Linked DNA regions of Drosophila melanogaster. The protein of the gene in region 2 interacts with the protein of the main gene of each other region in a pairwise test. Each region holds a gene or a part of one and is shown on either strand. Other genes may lie near its edges.

What was found.
Region 1: the proteins of Nrt (region 2) and Fa2h interact in a two-hybrid assay, tested with the Drosophila melanogaster proteins (one large-scale study listed by BioGRID).
Region 3: the proteins of Nrt (region 2) and Cpr92F interact in a two-hybrid assay, tested with the Drosophila melanogaster proteins (one large-scale study listed by BioGRID).

What each region holds. Positions count from the first base shown.
Region 1 is NT_033778.4:7,449,799-7,453,557, reverse strand, and holds the start of Fa2h (fatty acid 2-hydroxylase), read left to right. Parts: upstream 1-2,004; 5' UTR 2,005-2,112; intron 2,113-3,562; exon of another isoform or gene 3,563-3,759.
Region 2 is NT_037436.4:16,764,043-16,767,801, forward strand, and holds the start of Nrt (neurotactin), read left to right. Parts: upstream 1-2,029; 5' UTR 2,030-2,498; intron 2,499-3,759. UniProt on the Drosophila melanogaster protein: May mediate or modulate cell adhesion between embryonic cells during development.
Region 3 is NT_033777.3:20,667,535-20,671,293, forward strand, and holds the start of Cpr92F (cuticular protein 92F), read left to right. Parts: upstream 1-2,036; 5' UTR 2,037-2,196; coding exon 2,197-2,208; intron 2,209-3,601; coding exon 3,602-3,759.

The DNA.
Region 1 (3,759 bases), on a different chromosome or scaffold from region 2:
GCTTACCATAACGCCCAAAGCTGCCACGCCCACAGTTTTAAAGATAATGTTGAAATTTTTCATTTTGTATGAATTTGTATTTAAGTTTGTTGTTTTGATAATGTATTTTATAAGACTTGCAAGCATTGGGATTAAAATGGACATTTTTGAAAAGAAAATACGCTGAACATTTCTAATCAAACTAGTTCTAAGGCACAGACTAGTATGAGTATACTAGAAATGCCAAGAAAAAGGCCACAGACTGGACTCCCATGGCATAAATATGTCCCATCCTTCAAAAGCGCTGGGTGTTTTATCCTCTATTGCTTACCTATTCTATTATGGTGTCACACGTGATTAATATGGTTATGGGTGTTGTCACATTAGAGAGTAATTACTTCCTGCTCAAACTTATAAGCAAACTTATCGAGGTGACCCCGCACTCAAGCCAATCAATTCGATTCCCATTCGACCTGTATGATATTAGTGGCTTTGAAGGCGATTGATGCGATGACATGTGTATAATTAACTTCTTCGATATAGTCCCTTGCCATGGACAATAACTAAAATGGTGTCCGTGGGGATTGGCTTGGCCCTTAAACGTCAAGTTGTTGGCACAGACTTGCATTCCCCTTAGGGAAAAGTGGACACAACTCGCCAGCGAACTAGCAATATATTATATATCCCTATACGAATCTATTAGTCTACTTAAACCCAGTGCTATACTAACAAACATATACAAACTATAACTGGGTTACTCCGCGGTTTTCTAACCCATTGAGATGCCTTACAAATTCACCTTTGTGGCTTGAACCGAGCTATTGTGGCTTATCGAAACCTGTTAGTTAGGCTTCACTTTTGCTCACTCAATCGACTTCACTACAAAAAGACGATTAAGCATTACCAACCACACTATCACTGGCACTTAACTGGGATCTCGAAAAGATTTTTTTGGTTCGATTACTGGCAAATGAAATGTACTAAATTAATATTTTAACTATGCTATGTTACATATATCATGAGCATGAGAAACTCTTTAAATCTCAAAACCATTTTAAATAGGGTTTTGATTTGTATCAGTAATAAATGTTCTATAGAAAACGTAAGAAGTTATGTCTGTGAAAGGATGTTTTCATAACTAACATATTTATTAAGTATTAAGTATATAGATAATATATAAATAAGATATACATATGTAAGAACTAAAAATGCCACACTTTTACTATACTTAGGTTACAATGAATCCTAAAATGGATTGGAAATATACAAGGGTCATAATTTAAAAAATTAGATCTATGATATAAGGACTTTTTCGAACTTATAGGTCCTATTGCTGTAAACCTTTGCTTAAAGAACATTTTCGTGCCTCGGAATCTAAACATCATAAGTTACCAACGTGATTTTATATTAGCAGTAGAAAATTATTTCTTGACATGAGGGCAATGATACCATACATCAGGACTGATTCGAGAGTCAAGTGCCCAATAGGAGTACATACTCATGCGAAGAAGTACCTCCATATCGTGGTAAGCACCGAGGAAGCTCGCCGAGGACGATGTTCATGGGTGATTCATTTTCGATTGCCGAAATCAGAGTTCCGATTCGTGGTGACTCGTCTGGGAACAATTTGTATAGGAATCTTGATAAGGGCTCCAGCAATAGTTATCCGCAGCTCGTTAAACGCAATCGAGATCTACGTCAGGATTGTTAGAATATTGGAACACGCAGCGATAGCTACATTTACGGTGCCTTGCAAATTGGACGATAAGAGTTCGGATCGGTACAATCATTACCGGCAGTCCTCCCACTTCGTGGATCACTGTATCTGGAACTACAACTGGAACTTGTCCGGGTTTATCTTATCGTAGCCGATGCGTGGTCCGCTTCGTCAGGAGCACCGACGGCTAGTGGTTAGGGCTAGAGGTGCCGGTAACTAGCAGCGGCTAGAGCCCACAAGATAGCACTGAGCAGCGACGTCGGCGTCGACGCCACGGATGTGGATGTGTTGGGTGGGTGGGCCATAGTTCAGTCGTGAGTTGCGTTGCGTTGCGTGCGGTCAGAGGCTCTGCCGACAGTTGGGAACCCGGTCTGGAGTCAAGAGCCCAGTGTTTTGATCAGAGCAGTGCGAATTCGGTAAATAAATAATCCCGTGGTAGCCGAGGGTCTGAAATTATGCAAATTGCCTGGGTGCAAGTAGCACTAAGTGTGGCAAGCAGCTTAGCCCATAGTTTAGGACGATAGCCCAACTATGTATCTTCGATACTTTGTCATCGCCCGCGATAAGATATCATCCGACCCAGCCCGGTATCCGATCCACAGGTTTTCGGGGCACTGCTAACCCGGATAGATAAAGCTTTGCTTGCCACTATCACTCCCCGAACAAACGCCATTAGCCGCGTGTAAACACGAGTGTTGGGCTTCGTTTGATGGCTCCGCCAATGGACAGACCAGACCATAGGTGCTAGAGGTCGGGCAGACAGTGCCCAGCCTATCCCGCATATGTGTCTATGTGTCAGATAGACACTATTAATCAATGTGACGCAGCCCCAGCCCGGGGTTGAGTCAGAGCACCTGCTCCACCCTCAATCCTAACGTGGCACCCCGTTTGGGGACTTACCACTTGCCACTTTGACAAACGAGCCGTCTACTCCCTCTCATCCAAACCAAATCCCCGCGCTTACAGGCTTTCCTATCAGCATTGATAAGGCAAACTATTGACGGAGCAAGTTCGTCCGTGGAATGGCGACGCTCAGTGCGGCGCGTAGGCAAAAGGCAAAGTGCCCGCGCCGTTAAGAATGGAAATGTTTGTGCGGATCCCATATGGGCACGCATCATCGGAAAGAAACATCTGGCGCACTTCGGGAATGCCAAGTTCAATTGAGCCCCTGACGGCCACTGGGTGAAATGCCTCCAGTGCATTTCCAACATTGCTCTGTAGGTTGCAATTACGACCTGCAATTGATTCGCCCTAATCGCTGTAATTACATCTATTACCGAATCAATTAAACAAATGTTCTGCAAGTGTGGTGTTTCGAAAATCTTTCCCACACCCAACTAGGGAATCCTATAAGTTCAACGCCAGAATAGAAGGTATCAATCCAAAATTTCTTCAACTAAAAGGAAGTCAAAATAATATATCCTTAGGGTCACTAGAAATCGGATAGAAGTTAATTGATAAGCAAAACTTTGACTTTAATGGATACCTTGGAATGCAGATAATAGGTGCAGATACTTTTTCTATACTTATATTTTGGTTTCAATAGATTACGCTATCGTAGGTTTGGCTGTGAAATTTTTTTATGAATCATGAAAATGGCAAATACTATACAGTGCGCATATCAAATATGTAGGAAATGCTGCATCCCTTCAAAAACTATTAATAAAAACAGGATTATTTATAATACATTGTCGTTTTATTTGTGTAAATACCATAAGCATCAAGGTCAAAATTATGAATTCGTAACCAATTATCTCAGCAGATAGATAGCTGTTGTTTTTTTTTAATTAAACAATATGTTCTTAAGGAGATTTACTTAAAATATATTTGTGTGAAATATTTCATTTAGCTGCGCCAATGAGGGTTATTTAATTCAGTTTTTTGGGGATGATACATTTGATCTGTGTACAAAATAACTCTAAGAGGAGGTGAATTATATATTTAATTGAGCGTGTCCGATACAATATGGCATCATGTTGCTGCTGGGCACGCAAAGTAATTAATTCCAAAGATAATCAGTGGCAGAGTATCATGCTCGCAAAGGAACAGCAAAGTCTTATCCG
Region 2 (3,759 bases):
TGGCATATTGAAACCGAATCATTGCTTGATTGAATTACATATCGTGGGGTTAGTGGTGCAGAGAACAGAACTCCCTCGAATTTCTTGAAGTCTTCGTTTTCGGTTTCCACACGTTTCCGGTTCAAATTTAAATTAAACTTGTTAATTATTCCATCCGAAGAACAACCCACACAAGACAGGAACATGTGTTCACTACTCCACTTCCTTTCCTTGGGCGTCCCACATTTTGCGGGTTTCCTCGTTACCATTTGCGATCATGATAATGATCCGATGCGATCATTTTGATCCTTCCCCTTCGACGTGACGGGCATGCGTCAAACTCAAATACGTATGTAACTCGAGCCAACCTTCACTTTTATTTTCTAGTTTCCTACCATATTTATTCCTTTTTTTCGGTAGCAGATGTCGCCTAACATCATGTCTAATGAAATGCTTCAGTAGCTCCACAATGAAATAGGGAACCCTCATAGTTCGGGGCGTGAAAGTTGTTGACATGTGGGTAGGAATTCCGTGGGGTAATACCTTTGGAAGAACAGGGGAATCGACTTCTAATACATTTCTAGCACGTGTCGTCATGGCTTCTGTTCTAATAATTCAACCGACACAAGTTCAATATAAATATTAAACTATGTACATACATAGGTATACAATGAAAATATTGAAATATTGAAAAATATTTACCAAACACTTTAGTTAAATGGGTAGCCTAATTGTCTGAAGACATATCTCCTACATTAGTTGATTACTCATAAATCATAAGCGTAACATTTTTATAAAATAGAGCACATACTATATAGTAATTGAAAGTATAATACTGGGGGAGTGCCCTTTATTAAATAAACTGCAACAACGTATGTTTTTCTCATAACTGTGGATGAATCATTCTGTTGATTTGCGTATCGCTCAAAATAAATGCATTAAAATCTTCTTTATAGTTTTCATTGCGCAAAAGTTGATTGAAAGAATCATTATATTTTGTCTTTCTTACCAAATAAGTGAATTTTCTCAGGGGTAGGGATATGAAACCCTATGCGAAAAGGGGTGTTGGGTTGGAGGTAGCCAAGGGTAAGGGTTTGTGCTGTAATGACGCATCAGGACGTGGAATTTCCCTACATATGCCAGATGTTCCCATCGGCATAAACTGCGCTTCAACACTTGCCGCCAGTTGATAAGCATTTGAAAACGAGTTTCAAAAACCGAAATCAAAACCTTTACTCAAACAAAAGTGCCATATCAACAAACTTCTTTCCCTTCCCCTTGCCAGCTTCCCTCTCTTTTTAAGAAAAATTAATAACAAAGAAATATAGGGAGATCGGCATCTACTTCTATTTGAAGCATGTACAACTCAGAAATTTTTAATAACTTTAAGTTTTATATTTATAAAGAGCTGTAGACTACGTAATACCTCTACTTTGGGTTTTGGGTGTTGACTTGAACAATTTATAACAATTTTACCCTATGTTCTCCTACATGTTCTATAAAGTATCTGATCTGATCATAATATCTGAGGTGTCTTGTTTCACTAACAATAAACGCTTTACCAAAACTACAATACCTTTTTCATAAAATCACCATCGAACATTTTGCACTTACTGTACAGGAAAACAAAGCCGCTACTTTTACTGCTGCTTTCCAGCCACCCCTATGATTTATAAATTTACAATGCCGGCTGCTTCCAGTTCCAGTGCACAGTGGTCCAGTTCGAACTAAATCATAAACATGAATTATGATCATGTCTAATAAGTTTAATTAAATTACTTATAAAATATTACAACAATTCGTTGTGTAGGTGTTTTCAATGCTAATCACTGTTGCTTGACATAATTTGTATACTATTATAAACTTACAAGTTATATCTTAAATTATGTTTTTTCTTTTTTTCAAGAGAGAAACATGTTCTCGCCGAAAACACGTTCCACTTCCAGTTCCCCGAATAAAAACAAATCCAAGAAAATTAACATTAACAGTTGCTGTTAAGACTCTGTTAACCGTTTCGAAGCCGCATGAATTGCATGACATCGAAACGGCGTCAGTCAGTTTTGTTCTGTTTTGGAAGCCGCACGCGTTTTCCCTCGCTCCGGTTGTGCTCGCTTTCGCATCGCACACACACACACACTCTCGCCGCACAGACGCGACCAAAAGAAAACAAAATCAAATTCGGCGCAAACAAGGAATAACTTTTTATATTCCTATTGTGCATCGTATGTTGTATTAAGTGCAAGAAATATATTTACACAAATCTAACAAAAACACCGCAACTACTTTTGTGCATTTTGTTTTGCTCTGTGCCGAAGGAGCGGAGAAAAGAAAAAACCGCAACAAATCAAAAAATCTGTGCGTTTGTTATACACACCTAAGTGTCCTGCAGGAAGGACATCGGGTTCATTTACGCCACCCGCTGTTTTCAAGGACCAACGGATTATTCCCAATTGCCACATTTCAACAAGTTCGAAAAAAGCAACACACATTTTACACAGTGTTTGCGAGAATTGAAAAAGGTAAGATTACAAATTCGTGTGAAGGACCTCGGGGATTTGTAGAAGAGGAAGAGCAGTTGAAAACAAATCGATGAATTGTAAATGAAGTCAAATTTGTCTGCCAACTTTAATAATTTAACAAGTGAATATGGACACTTCAAACTTGAAAGATTAAAATGTGATTATAATTGAATAAAACAATTTACATGCATATTTATTTAGTTTTATACAAATGTAAAGATTTTGGCCAAAAAGTTTATTGAAAAACGCTAATGCCGTAGCAATTGAAATCTGAGTTATTTGTGAAAAGTAGAAGATAAAAGATATAAGAGCTTAATTTGAAAACTTTTAAAATATGTCGGTATCCGATCTTGACGGCTCTAAATTAATTTATAATCCTCCACAATCCATAATTACCGAGGAAACATCTTACCAAAACAATTTAAATGGCGTCTCGAAAAACATTTCATTCCGAGCTCTTAATAAGATTAATGGGGCTTCACGATTCATTGATATAATCCCTCCGTAACGAAGCACACCCACCCCATCGTCATCATCATCTTACGCGTCTTGAGGTCTAATGGCTCGTGTCAATGATCAGACGGACTCTTTCCCTCAATAATTCCCATTTTCCATCCTTTCTAATGGCTTGTGTCGCGGCTCCGTATGAAAAACATAACCATTTGACATAAATCACGGCCCTGACAAATCCTTTTGAACATTTCATAAACATAATGTGTGTTAATCCTCAGATATTTCAATCCATCAACATCCAGAGTTTGGTGGATGGAGTTGCCCCAAAAATAGCGCGACCCCTTTGGTATCATTTGTATGCACAGTCAGACGCCGGCTTGAATAAATCCCCAAATAGTCATTCCGTAAACAAATGCAAAGGAAATTGTTGAAGGGATACGGATACCGGGAAAAAGGGCAATAATTCAATGATGAATTAATAGGCGCATGGAAATGATCACGAATTCCCGGGATCTTCAGAGAAAGTTCGAGTTGGCAGCTGCTGCTCTTCGATTCGCTCCAGAAAAAGAAAAAAAGACTTCCGGGGAATCGAGCAACTAAAAAGTGAGAAAAGCATCAACAAAGCCAAACAGAGGCACAACAAATGGGGTAGGAAAACGTGAAGATGCCACGCTGACGCAACATTTGCATTCGGAAAGAGATTTATGGAGGCAACTCCCCCGCCCATTGACTTTTCGCTCCAACTTCCCTCATTGTTTTGCCAAGTTTTCAAAAGACAAGAGCCGACATGATGATGTTGATGTGTGTG
Region 3 (3,759 bases), on a different chromosome or scaffold from region 2:
AAAATACATCCAAGTCTGGCTACGCTTAGATTAGGAATGCATTTAGATAAATTGATTCTGATTGCATAATACGCGTTATTACCAGGTAATTAGTTAATTTTCACCCAGATACCGATCAGAATTCATATGCCCGACACCCGGCCAGTAGCGTTCGCATTGAGAGCCAAGACCATAATTACAGACGCCGTTCGCAAATGGAGCTGGATTGGATCGGGTCGGGTTGGAGCTGAAGCTGAAGGTGGCTGAAGGTGGGCACCTCGACAAATCCACAAATGTGTGGATTGCACTTGAGCCAGTCGAGGCATTCATTCAGGCAGTCGGCCCACAGCTGTCGACAGTGGGCCGAGCTAATAAAATGAAAACAAAAGTGGCACCGGCAAAAAATATAATTTATAATGTTGCGCATACCGCAAAAATGTCAAACACGCCCCAAACCGATCGCCCGCCCGCGCATAAAAACAACAACAACAGCACATGCGGGTTCAAAAGAGCAGTTTGAAGTTGGTTTGGTTTATTCAAATTAAATTGGTGGCAGGCAAAGGCAAACAAATTAAGTTGCCGATACGAACTCAAGAATATGGAGTGTGCCATATAGACTATAAACGAGTATATAGGCGCATATAGCCAACCGCCCTCCCGATTTCGCTTATCGAATGCAAATAATCAAAGTTAGCCAGGGTGCAAGCACTCATTATATTGCAACGGACAAGAGAGGCTCACTGCTGCACTTGCAGAAAAAATGCAATCGGATTTCGGATACGGAATCGAAATTCATTACATTAAATTATATTTATTTCTTTATGTATATATATATATTTATATGTTTAACTGAGCTATAAAAAAATAATAACATTTTGGGGAAAAAAAATCATCTCTTCTCTTTAATAACTAAGATACTCAATAATTGTTAAGAAGTTGGGATATTCAACTAAGATACATACAAAAATTAGTTACAACAGCATTTCTTTCGAAATCGTTCACTCACCTAGCATTCGACGAATATCATTTTCTCTTCTTAGGGATTATTCTTAGTTAAGGATAGCTCATTCTAAGTTAAATAATTTTGATTTTCCGAGTGCATGAGTGCATTTGGGAGTGCAACATCTAGATTAGCGGACAGCAAAGAAATGCTGCAACATGTGGCAACAGCGGTGGCCAAAAGTGAATAGAAAATCCATTTTGCTGTCTTTTGTTTTCCGCTTGCTTCTTTGGGCAGTGCTCTTGTTTCTCCTTTTTTTTTAATTTGCAAAGTTTTCGTTTCGTTTTCCGATGCAGTTCAATGATTAAAGAGGCAAACGCCCAGAAATTGGCCAGCTCACATTTCGTTATGGCCACCATTGGGGCATGTTGCAAGCGGTGGGTAAGAATTTTTTAATTTGATCGAGCGTTGCGCTTGGGGCGGGGCTCTTGGGCGTTTTTTGGAAAGGCACTGATCGATAAGATCGGCCTAATCCCGTGGCCAAATAATGAGTGCTAATTGTCCGCACCGCGGAAGTCAAAGAACTAGCACCCGAAACAACACCAAATAAAATACATTAATCGCCTAATGTTGAAGCCAGGTTGAAACCAATACCGGCAATTAAATCGCGTTGAAAGCAAGGTCATGGCAGCTGTGATTTTTTCCACAGTGACAAACGCAGCGCGGAAACGCACGAGCAACATGTTGCCAGTGCAACTGCAGGCCAGCAACATGCTGCAGCGGCACTCCACTGCAAGCGATTGATACACATTCTTCGGCTGCGATATCCACTTCGGCTCTGGCCAAACCCCGCTTCGAGCCCCGATTAAAGTGGTAATTCGATTACTCTGGAACTGGTACCACACATTGTTCTGCTCTTGCTCTCGTTGGCTTTTGTTGGCTTTTGTTGAACGCCCGATATTGCTGGTGTTGCGGTGTTTTCGCTGCTGTTACCAATGTTGCGCATGCGCCGGCGTCTCAGCCGGAGTCTCGGCTGCAGTGTCTCTGCTCCCCAATCCCCAGTCTCCGGGCTCGCTGGTCTCGGGCGGTATATATTAGGGCCGCCAGCCAGCAGTCAGCACAGTTCGTTAACAGTCCTAGTCGTGGTTCTAGGAGGTTCAACCAGCGTCCAGCGACCAGTGCCTGTGCCCGTGTGTCGTGTGTAGTTAGTTTTCCGTTCATCCGCAGTGTGTCCCCGAAACTCCTTTTCGAAGCTCAATCGTGTGATCATAGCTAAAATGAAGCCATTCGTAAGTATGCGCCATGGGATCGAAAGGATAACGCCGAGCAAGAGGATTAAAGTTATAAATAATATGAGTTGGAGTGTGTAGATTACCGTGAGGAGAAAAGGATATTTGGATTCCGTGCTTGAATTACTGAGATACATTTCTAACTTTTTCTGTTCTACAAATTAGTGATTAACGTCTCTGCATGTAATTTATTTTTCTTAAAGTTACAAAATTTTACCATAAAAGTGGGCAAAAGTTCATTTAATTGATTGATTCTATCATGAAATGCTTAAGTTCATTAAAATCGTAGTTTAATGGAACTATGTAAGTCCACAGCCAGGTTTCGCTAGTTAGAACTGCTTTTTCATTTTCGATCTTTGGGATATGTTAATCGGTATCAAGAGAGAAGTGTGGCATACCAAATCTTTAAATTGGATTTTGTCAGCCGTTCGAAAAGTAAACACTAGTTTGACAGTGACTTGCCATTAAGTTTGAATGAATTCCTGGCATTCTTTTAATCTGTCATAGCGCAATTAATTTAAAATTCAACTGACATTGCTTTTGTAAACTCAATTTATTTCGCTTAAATTCCGCTCCGAACGAAATGGCACCTGTGCATCGTTCAGTTCCATCCGAGAGTCAATTACCATGGCACGTCATGCTAAACGTACCACCCAGCAAACCATCAGCTGCCATGGAACTCCGTGCGAAATCCCGTTGATAAGCCGCTGACATGTTGCATGTCGGACAGTTTATTCAACCGTTTTTCCACCACTTTCTGCCCCACTCACCTGCTGACACATAATATCGTACATAATCGCGCCGCATGCGGTAATATCTTCGAACGAATATTGGCCGACCGACCGACTACTGACTACATATCTCGGAATCAAATCTAACGGTTGCGCTTCGCGGCTCTGAAAAGCGAAACCATTGGAAAAGCGAATCCAGAGGAGAAGCGAGTCCAGGAGAAAAGCGAAAAGATGGGCGTGTGGGGCAAGAAAAGCGAGAGGAAAACGCTGGCGCAAGAGCAAGAAAAGCGAAAAGCCTGTAATTAGGTTAGCAGAGGCGGCTTATAAGCTTCCACTGAGTGACACCTGCGATTAACGATTTTGGGCGGTGGCTACCGCACGAGTAATTATTGAGCAGTCACATAATCCCACGCCTAACACCTTCTGCACTGTGAGAAACATGTAGAAGCTATATGTTAAATAATTTGAAATATTCAAAGAGATGAAGGTACAAAAGTTCTCTAATCGGAATTCAACATAGGCAAAATCAAAAAGATTTTTAATTATTATTATATATATATTTAATATATAAAAATCAGTTCTGTAAAGCTATATTGAAATTTGTTAGTTTTTTTTATCAGCTACATCAAAATTACAAAAAATAATTTCCCATTTTTATTTAGTTTATTGCCGCAGCGTTGCTGATCTCGACGGTGTCCGCCTCTTGGCACGGAGCCGTCTCCACACAGTACCAGCACCTGGACCCGCACAGCCACACCTACTCCTACGGATACGCCGATCCCAACTCACAGAAGCACGAGACGCGAAGCCATGACGGCAC